Linked DNA regions of Xenopus tropicalis. The protein of the gene in region 1 interacts with the protein of each later gene in a pairwise test. Links are inferred from orthologs where the notes say so. Each region holds a gene or a part of one and is shown on either strand. Other genes may lie near its edges.

Region 1 (5,083 bases):
TTTAAAAAGAAACAAAAAATATGGTGCACTGGCTGTGGCTAGCACTTTAATTGAATAAGAGGTGACTCTGTGTTATTGAGTGTTTGAATATAGTAAAGAAGTTCTGCTGAAATATCAAGTTGTTCAGCCACCAAAAGTGTCTCCTTAAAAATCTTACAAAGTTCTTCTTTTGTTGAATCGCTGATATAGTTGGTATTCATGCAACGGAATGTTGATGATCCATTAGAGTCCTGACTTGTGCAACAGTTCCTGGAACCTGCGCAGGAGCCTGGCTCATTCAGTTCACATCTATGCTCATGACTGATTAGAGCCATGTCCTCCACACAGTGCAACAAATCAGATGGTTGTGCACCTTTATAAAAGGAAGATAGATCTTTTACAATTTGTTCCTCACACTGATCTAATGAAGTCAGAAGCTCATGTAGTTTTCCAGAAGCTGCATCTTTTGTCTTGTGAAGTTGGCACCATGCCAGGAGTGCACTGCAACAAGCACACAAAGTACATTATATAAACGACAATGATAACATAGATACATTTTCTAGAAGCACTGGCATTTCCTGATGATACAACAAGTTTTATTGTCAGCTGACCCTAGTTAAACTTTTGACATCAATTTTCTGCTGATTGTCCCTATTGTACTCATTCTTCTATCACGTTTGCAGTAAGTAAAACATCAACATTGACAATTTAAGATTTAAAATATTTTACAAATTTGTGAAGAGCTAGCAGTAGGTTGCAAAATACTTAATTAAAAGAGTGACTGAAGTTTATCGAAGCACAAGTCACATGGCTGTCAATTATCAAAATTAGAGAAAAAAAAAAAATGTTGCTCTTCCTGTAAGGGTGAAGACACACGGAGCTACTAGTAGCGGCTACTTGTTGCAGCTACTAAAACAGACAATGCTGATCATTTACTGATAACTGTCTCTACATGTGTTTTAGCAGAGGCAATTCTCTATTTTCTATGGCAGGGGATTTTCTGGTGTTTAGTAGCCGTGACAAGAAACCCTTTAAAGGGGAAAAAGCCCCCCTTTTTTCACATGAGATAATTCAGTTTTGTGCTTATATAACAAAAGTGTAGAAACTTCTGAACTGCCAAAAATATATACAATTCTTAAAAATATGTAATGTTAAATCTTTCAGCGCTATTTAAGTCTTTATTAACTGCCAATATAATGAATTTTGTAATATTGCTACCTCAGTTCTTGAAATTGTACAGTCAAAGACATACAAACCTTACATTCAGAACAGAAACAGGAAAGCGATCAGAAGCCCCAATTGCCTTTTCCCATCTCCTTCCTAAGCAAAGCAACAGCACAATATTTGTTTTTTTTTTTTATTAAAAAGGTAGCTCTCTTTGACTGTACAACTGCAGGAAATAACCAGAAGGCAGTGATGTTACAAACTTTATTATTTTGGCAGTTAATAAAAACTTAAATAGCTCTAAAACTGAAAAATTAATACTGCTTATAAAAGCACCCTGAGCATTTTGACACATTAAACATTTGTAATTCCCGTGACTGAAAAGCTGTCGGAAATAACTGGAGAAGTGAAGATAAAATACAATACAACTTACCTTAAGATCCCTTTAAGCTCTCCGTAATGCTTTAGCAGGTTCACTCCAACTTTATATCCAAAATTAAACCCTGTTTGTAGAGAATTTTCTTTCCCAGCCTCTATTCCATCAACGTAGCCCTCCTACGAATACAAGAATAGAAATTCAAACTAAACAAGCATTCCACAAAATTAAAGCAGTTAAAATAGTTTTCATCTGTAACCTAAAATTAATTTAAACTTAAAACTCCATGCCTACTGCATCCTACATATCCAACAGACAATATACTGGTGGATACGGTACATTTTTTTCCCTGCCATTTTAACCCTTTCACTGCCAAGCACGTAGGCTGTATGTGCTGGCAGTAAAAGGCTCTATCTGCCAAGCACATACACTTAAATATAGATATTTAGAAGCCTATATTGTTATAGAAGTGGCATTACACAAAAATTCTAGCATATTGTGAAAGCTTAGATTGCCCTGAAAAAAATATATTGTTTTCCTGGGTAAGCTAAAAGTCCACCCTGAGAAAAGGCCTCTAAAGTGAAAGAGCGCAAAATGTTCAAAAACTGTCTGGCAATAAACGTTCTGTTGTGACCAAATCTGCTTGCAGTGAAAGGGTTAATGTGTAGGTGGGTAGGACATGGGACTAATTAGTGCAGTGATCCCCAACAAGTGCCTTGTGAGCAACACGTTGCTCCCCAAGGCCTCAAACCAGGTAGTGATTTTTGAATTCCTGACTTGGGGGCAAGTTTTGGTTGAGTAAAAACAAGATTTACTACCAAATAAAGTCTCCTGTAAGCTGATAGTGTGCATAGAGGCTGCCTAATAGCCAATTACAGCCCTTATTTGGCACCTTCATGAACTTTTATGATGCTTGTGTTGCTCTCCAAGTCTTTTTACATTTGACTGTGGCTCACAAAAAGATCCCCGAATTAGTGTAACCTGGTCAACCAGTAACTTCATAATGAGTTACTTGTGTAACGACTGATAAAGTTCTGAAATGGGAGTGATTATTCTACTTTCCCCGAATCACAGCTTGGGTGCAGGTAAGAAAGTTGTGTATAAAGCAATGACAAGGCAGAGAAATGAGGTAGGTTAGTCTTGAATTAGGGCAAACTCCACTGACCTTCAATGAACGGACTAACTTTATTAGCACATTACTCTTGATTATAATTAATAAAGTGTGCTATATTGAACTACTACTGACTAGCTATTTGGGCCACACAGAAAGAACATGTGTGTGTTTAGAAGAAATGCCGAATTCCTGCGACAAACATTGAAACCCCGATGCGAGTGCTCCATAACACAGCAGTGCCCTGAGGTAAAACAGAGCCCCGCTTTTACCAACCTCCTTGTAATTCCCAGAAAACCTGCTTCTCAATGTATGCCTTGGGGTAGGTAACCAGGAGCACATGAAATCACTTACCAGTAAAATAGGGCAATGCCTAGAAAGGGGCCCCCAAACTCGCTATGTTAGTCTAACTATCTCCCGAATACCTTAATTCTCTTCTCCATGGACAGCTGCCAATCTCGCTGCAAAAGGCGCATCTCGTCTCCATCTTCATCAAACACCTCTGCCTCCCCTCCAAGCTGCTGGATTTCCAAAGCGGTGCGTACCCACGCCATTTCACTATCAGGGGCCGGTATCTAGCTCTAGCATGGCATAAACTGGAGGAGAATCCCTGCTCTAACGCAGAAAAGCTAAATACGCCCCTCGCCCATGACGAAAATATCAGTCTAACTTCACCCCGGAAGTGGAAATTATTTGCAGCCGCATCCTCACCAATAGGGATCGCTATTTTATGCGCCATTTTCTGAAGGCATGTCCATTGCTTATAAGCCAAGATGGTTGTTTGGGTGTAGTAAAAAAAAAAAGCAACGGAAAGCGTATTTCTCTATTTCCTAATGGTGCGTCAGCGCCATCTTGTGTAATATTAGTGCTTGACATGGGGTGAAATAATGTGTGGCGAACTTTATATGGTTCAAATGTTATGTACATAACTAACAGCATGTTGTTTCGTGCTTTTATGATTATATGTAAAGTCTTTTGCGTGCTGAACACAATAATGAGCTCAAGATTATGGCAAAACTCCCCGCCCCAGCTCAGACTTACACTAGCATACCTTCCAACATTTTGAAAATGGAAAGCGGGACAAAAAAAAATGCAGAGCACAGCTACTTTGTGACCACGCCCGTTTTTTTGCGACCACACCCCCTAAATACCACTCCCATTTGGCAGGTTATAGTTTGTTTACATTTCTGGGGGTTTTGTTTTATGTGTTATAGTTTTGCTGAAAAGATGAAATTGTCCTTTAAGTTGCAAGTCTCAGTTCCCCCAAGAGGTCTGTTTAGCTTATTAGTTACACTTGTATCTCAGTGCAGGGGGGGGCTCTTTACCTTTCTGGGTTCTTTGCCAAAAGCCCACTTATTTCATTAAATGTGAGAAACAATGTATCTAAGTGCAATGTATCTAAGTGGGGTCTCTGCCAAAAGCTACTTTTAATTAAATTAGCTTCAGTGCAGAAGATCAAAGGGAAATGAGGGACTTTTCAGTAAGAATCTGGGACTGCAGGCTGAGCTGCCAAAAGAGAGACTGTCCCGCGAAAATCGGGACAGTTGGGAGGTATGCACTAGGGTTGCCACCTTTTCTCGAAAAAGATGCTGGCCTTCCTATATTTTTAGCTATTTTCCCTATTAATAACATTAGCATTAAAGGAGAAGGAAAGGTAAAAACTAAGTAAGCTTTATCAGAAAGGTCTATGTAAATACAGCCATAAGCACTCACAGAAACGCTGCACTGAGTTCTCTGTTAAAAGATACAGGATTTGTTGTCTCTTTGTTTTCCTGTGCCAGACACACGCAGCTCTCTCCTCTCTCCCCTCTCCTGCTCCCTCCTCCCTCAAGAATGCTAAGAACTCCCTTCCCCCCTTAGGAATGTGCGATCTTAGCCAATCAGCAGGAAGATTCCTCATAGTCTTACTAACTGAGCATGTACTCTTGGTCTTGGTGTAGGAGTGAGGCATTATGGGAACTTTCACCAAGCTCAGTGTTTTTTTTCCCTATAAGGCTTCTGATCATCTGAACAGGTGAAATATGGGGAGACTTAAGGGCACTATTGAGAGAACTGAAGGTATGCCTGCAGCTTGAGATTAACTCTTTATTAGCCTTTCCTTCTCCTTTAAGAATAATTTGTACTGGCCAGGCCGGTAAAATACCGGGCAGGTGTCAACCCTAACTTACACGTGTTTACCTAAGAATCAATGAGGTTTTTAATTGAAGTACTTTTTAAATCTAAATGATCTCCCCTTATATCAGCACAAAGGTGATCAATACCCTGAAAGACGGAGCCCACATAGTGACCAGCATGATATCTGTTTAGCTATACTAGACATTAAATTGCAATTACAAGTCATATTCCTTACTCCTTTTAAGAGTCACAGTTTTTCCAACATACTATTTACCACAATGGCAAGTGAATAAATAAATCACATTGTGCAGTTAATATAATGATTTATCTTAAACTAA
Region 2 (5,268 bases), on another chromosome or scaffold:
TTCCAAGATAACATATTCCTGCATGCGTTCCTCCAGCTGGCACAGGGCTTTGCAGGGTCTGATGAGCCAGAGGGACACCGGGAGAAAACCAAGTGGGCCCCACCCATACGGCATGGGCATGCTCATGAGGGGAAGCAAATGTTAAGATGGAGCCCAGGAGGTTGTGAGGGGGTTGCCACCTTTCTCTTTAGATATAGATGGGACATCGGGAGGGGTGTCAATGATATATAGGGGCGGGACATGATGTAGCGAGATGTGATTGGCCATATTTCACGCCAATCCTACCCCGTTTCCAGATGTCTAAAAACCAAGCAGGCAGCTATGAACTGGGCAGCCCATCTAAAAACCGGACCCCAGGCCCTTCCCATTGCAGCCCCAAAGGGCCACTGCTGTCCCAGTCCAATACTGGGGCTTTGGCTGTGGGTGTCCTGGTTCCAAATGCAGAGTTGGACTGGGGGGGTTCAGGGCCCACCAGAGCTGCTGCCCCAGAGGTCCTGCACCCCCCAAGGTGCCCCCACTGGCCACGTCCCCCGCAGGGGCCCCCGTCCGACGTCCTTCCCTGAGCGCGTGTAAAGGTGGCCATACACGGGCCAATTGTAGCTGCCAATATCGGTCCCATAGACCAACTCGGCAGCTTATCGGCCCGTGTAGGGGCACAAACGACAGACCTGCCCGACCGATATCTGGCCTGAAATCGGGCAGATATTGATCGGGTAGGTTAAAAAATTTAGTTGGATCGGGGACCGGCGTTCTAATTCAATTGTCGCCAAACAACTGAATTAGCCTAAATTCACCCGATATCGCCCACCCGTAGGTTTTAACCTGTCGGACTGGGGGGTAAAGGGCCCACCCCACTCCCACCCCAGGGGCCCTACAGGTGCCCCCCTAACCCCCCTTGCAGGGCCCTCCACCTGACGTCCTCCCCTGAGCTCGTACATTTAATGCGTCAGGGGAGGAGCAGTCTGGCAGGGGGGTCGGGTCTGGGCCGCCGGGGCCCACCGTGATTTTTCCCAGTGTCCCGACACCCCAGTCTGACCCTGTTAACCCGTATGGCCACCGTAAGTGAAACATGTTAAGGGAGGACACCCGCGGCTGGGGGAATGGCAACAGGGTCCCGACGGCCCAGTCCAACCCTGTGTAAATGCCCTCTGAATCCCACCATAAGGCCACAGTCACACCTGGAATACCGCCCACTTCTCTCTGCCCGCAAAAACACCACAGACACTGTGCGTCACTATGGCCTCACCAACATTGCGGTCCCACAAGCTGAAAGCAGGGAATTCCCATTTAAACTTAGAAACTCTTTCCAACTATGCACCCACCCTGTTTTCTATTCATAATCCCTGTATATTATCTAACACAAATGACAGGGCAATGGTAGAGTTACATTAAAACCTTGTTAGTGCATTACCCCAGAGCTAATCTCCCATTCGCACCTCAGGTCTTGTAGTTACTCATTATTACTTATTATTACTTATTATCACGCTTTTCCCGCGTTCTAAGACGATGCTGCGTCACAAGCAGTAGCCATAGCAACCTGCGAAACAGGAAGTGCGCTTTACAGGCGCCATCTTGGTGCTCTCACGCAGCGGCTAGGCCAGCGCTCTTCCTATTTGCTTGTGGGAGGCGGATGTGGTGTGACGTAATTCCGGAATTTCTTTCAGAGGCTGATTTCGCTGAGCTAGGGTTGTGTGTGCGGCGTGAGAGGGACAGAGAGCAGTAATGGAAGGGACAGACGACCTGTTTGATGACATTATTATGTGCGAGCAGAGGTGCGGCCTGTGTTATGTTTACTTACCGATGTGCAGCTGCAGGCAGAGGAAGTTCAAGTTTGAAATGTATCATTATGTGGTTGTGCGAGTGACTTGGGTTCCTTTGCAGGTACCGCGGGGAGGGGTATGAGGAAGGGTTGGCGGAAGGAAACAGTGCGGGAGAGTCAGAGGGCAAGCAGTATGGAGCTGTCTATGGAGCAAGAATGGGATCGGAGGTGTGTATAATTATATACTATTAAATATATATATGTGTGTGTGTGTGTGATTCACAGGATACCCCCATTCATAGTGTAAATCGGTGCTACTAAAAAATAAGTAGTGACACTGGTTAAAGGATGCCATGTATTAAAGGAGAAGGAAAGGCTAATAAAGAGTTAATCCCAAGCTGCAGGCATACCTTCAGTTCTCTCAATAGTGCCCTTAAGTCTCCCCATACAGAGAAAAAAAAACGCTGAGCTGGGTAGAGAAGATTCCCATAATGCATCACTCCCTCAAGACTTGGCGGCTTGTTAATGCAGGCGACGCATGCGCACACAGCAGGAGCGGCCGGTTGCCATGGCGACGCAGCGTCGGCGAACTCTGTGACAAGCAGATGGGGGGAGCGGGGCGGCAGAGGGTTTGTGGAGCTTGGGGGGTTTGTGGTGGGAGCGGCGGAAGCTTTGTGGCGGGAGAGGCGGAGGCTTTGTGGCGGGAGCGGCGGGGGCTTTGTGGCGGGAGCGGCGGGGGCTTTGTGGCGGGAGCGGCGGGGGCTTTGTGGCGGGAGCAGCGGGGGCTTTGTGGCGGGAGCGGCGGGGGCTTTGTGGCGGGAGCGGCGGAGGCTTTGTGGCGGGAGTGGGGAGGGGCGGAGGCTTTGTGGCGGGAGTGGGGAGCGGCAGAGGCTTTGTGGCGGGGAGCGGCGGAGGCTTTGTGGCGGGAGTGGGGAGCGGCGGGGGCTTTGTGGTGGGGAGCGGCGGAGGCTTTGTGGCGGGAGTGGGGAGCGGCAGAGGCTTTGTGGCGGGGAGCGGCGGAGGCTTTGTGGCGGGAGTGGGGAGCGGCGGAGGCTTTGTGGCGGGAGTGGGGAGCGGCGGAGGCTTTGTGGCGGGAGTGGGGAGCGGCGGAGGCTTTGTGGCGGGAGTGGGGAGCGGCGGAGGCTTTGTGGCGGGAGTGGGGAGCGGCAGAGGCTTTGTGGCGGGGAGCGGCGGAGGCTTTGTGGCGGGAGTGGGGAGCGGCGGGGGCTTTGTGGTGGGGAGCGGCGGAGGCTTTGTGGCGGGAGTGGGGAGCGGCAGAGGCTTTGTGGCGGGGAGCGGCGGAGGCTTTGTGGCGGGAGTGGGGAGCGGCGGAGGCTTTGTGGCGGGAGTGGGGAGCGGCGGAGGCTTTGTGGCGGGAGTGAGGAGCGGCGGAGGCTTTGTGGCGGGAGCGGGGAGCGGCGGAGGCTTTGTGGCGGGAGCGGGGAGCGGCGGAGGCTTTGTGGCGGGAGCGGGGAGCGGCGGAGGCTTTGTGGCGGGAGCGGGGAGCGGAGGGGGGGCTGGCTTGTGCTTTTCAGCCCATACAGACAAGATGGCGGGCGCCGTTCACTGAAACAAGTATGTAGGTTCTAGTATGTGTATCTCTGTAAATCTTTCATTAGGCAAGCCAGGAATATGGCGTTTTTACACAGCAATAGTAGTACTATTTAATAGCGTGCTTAATAGATTTTGACTTTCCTTCTCCTTTAATGCAAAGGCGATTGCTCCACAAAAAACTCATATAAATAATGATAATAACCATTGCCCCATTTAATTACACTTTTTCTCCTCTTTGGACGCAGCTTGGCTGTTACCTGGGTTTCGCTTCAACATGGAGGCTTCTATTGGTACCTGCTTCTGATGATCGTCAAAGGTTTGTTTTCCTGTGCTTTAATAAGTAACCACCACTGATCCAATCAATCTGAACATTAGGTTCCTGCTTACACTAGCAATATAGCTTATTTTGAAAATAGGACCTCAGGGATGTCATGTTAAACCTTTTCCTGAAAATCCAGTCACAAAAGACTTGTGTAGTTAAATAAGTAGAATAGATGGTTTTTCGTTATGAATAAAACACAATTTTATCCAACGGTAAAATATGCAAACATTTTGTCATTGAGGCCTTAAGGTTATGTATAGTGCTTTCCTTTTAAAGGAGACCAAAGAAACAAAGAACTAGGCTAGAAATGCTGTTTTTTGGGGTTTCTGTGCCAGCTCAAGCCCACAGAAGCCAGTCAAAAATCTCTGTTTTACATTACAAGCTGATTCAGTTTACATGGCAGCTTGGAAACCAGTGTATTCTACATCTGAGTTCATGAATTATCAGCCCTGTTGCATTAGCTTCTGTGACAGAGGTAACCTCCTTTTAAGATTTCAGAAGGTCTGTAAGTTTAGCATCTCAACAGCAACACAGAGCACACAGAGCATGTGCAGCGCCACTGACACTCAAAAGATGGCCTCATAAGATTAGGTCAATAGTGAATGCAGTCATAACTGCTACAATTCTTTGTTGGACTTGTAAGCACCAAGTGATCCAAACTGCTAAAAATTGCTTTGCTTGTTAAGTTTCAATGAAGTGTTTTAGCCTAGTGTTACGATGTAAATCATTACGATAAATGGAAATTGATGTTATTTTTTTTAATTCTATGCAGGCGAAAAATAAAAGCCCTTGATTCACTGATTGCCATGATTCGGAATTTTCATTCAGATGATCCAACTAATCCAAATCTTCAAGAGGACATGGCAAATATCCGTGGGAAGGTAAAACAGGTTAGTGTTGCACAATGCATGTTTTCTATTAAATTATTTTATAATACAAAAGGGAAGGGCCTATTCAGCATAATGTAATTTTATGATTTATGCTGGAAAACTGAAAACATATTGAGAAGGGGTGGGGTTTAAGGTCATCAAATTGCTTACTCAGTGCACAACAGAGTCTTGCTTGGACCCAAACCCACAATACGCATTTTGACCTGTTTGGGCCTGCTACCCAACCCACAACTGCCTTGTCCGCGAGTCGCTGACTGCCATTTAATGGGAAGAACCGTTACTGAAAACCAGAAGTGACGTCAGAAATGAGCAGGGGTAAAAAAAAAAAACAACTCCCCCCAGACAAAAAGCCCCCACCTGCTGCTATCTTGCTCCCTTCCCACAGAGTCTATTTCAGTGAACAGTGTTTCTGATAGTAAAGCTGACCTTTACAAGCAGAATAGCATGTCTTCTGAATCTTCATGTTCATTTTTGATCAGTTTGCCTACACAGAGCTTGCTGGAGCAAACGCAGTTAAACGTAATCACAGAGTATCTTTATCTGTGGAAGAACACGAAGATTCAGAAGATGGTGCCTGCTATCTCTGCTGCAATATTCTGCTTGTATAGGCCAGCTTTACTATCAGAGACACTGTTCACTAAACTAGACTGCGGGGAGGGAGCAGGGAGAGGACTTAGTGGAGGGCAGTGAATGAGAGATTTTTTTTCTGGGGGGGGGGTAGTTCTCCTTTAATCTATTACATT

The links. The genes of interacting proteins can lie anywhere in the genome.
Region 2: the proteins of yae1 (region 1) and lto1 interact in binary tests that used the Homo sapiens proteins (3 or more experiments, as listed by UniProt). The link is inferred for Xenopus tropicalis from reciprocal best matches to the Homo sapiens genes YAE1 and LTO1.

What each region holds. Positions count from the first base shown.
Region 1 is NC_030682.2:64,476,345-64,481,427, reverse strand, and holds the start of yae1 (protein YAE1 homolog), read right to left. Parts: upstream 3,322-5,083; 5' UTR 3,185-3,321; coding exon 3,056-3,184; intron 1,699-3,055; coding exon 1,577-1,698; intron 481-1,576; coding exon 39-480; 3' UTR 1-38. UniProt on the Homo sapiens protein: The complex LTO1:YAE1 functions as a target specific adapter that probably recruits apo-ABCE1 to the cytosolic iron-sulfur protein assembly (CIA) complex machinery. May be required for biogenesis of the large ribosomal subunit and initiation of translation.
Region 2 is NC_030680.2:12,878,107-12,883,374, forward strand, and holds the start of lto1 (protein LTO1 homolog), read left to right. Parts: upstream 1-1,695; 5' UTR 1,696-1,722; coding exon 1,723-1,772; intron 1,773-1,881; coding exon 1,882-1,987; intron 1,988-3,558; coding exon 3,559-3,629; intron 3,630-4,407; coding exon 4,408-4,525; intron 4,526-5,268. UniProt on the Homo sapiens protein: The complex LTO1:YAE1 functions as a target specific adapter that probably recruits apo-ABCE1 to the cytosolic iron-sulfur protein assembly (CIA) complex machinery. May be required for biogenesis of the large ribosomal subunit and initiation of translation.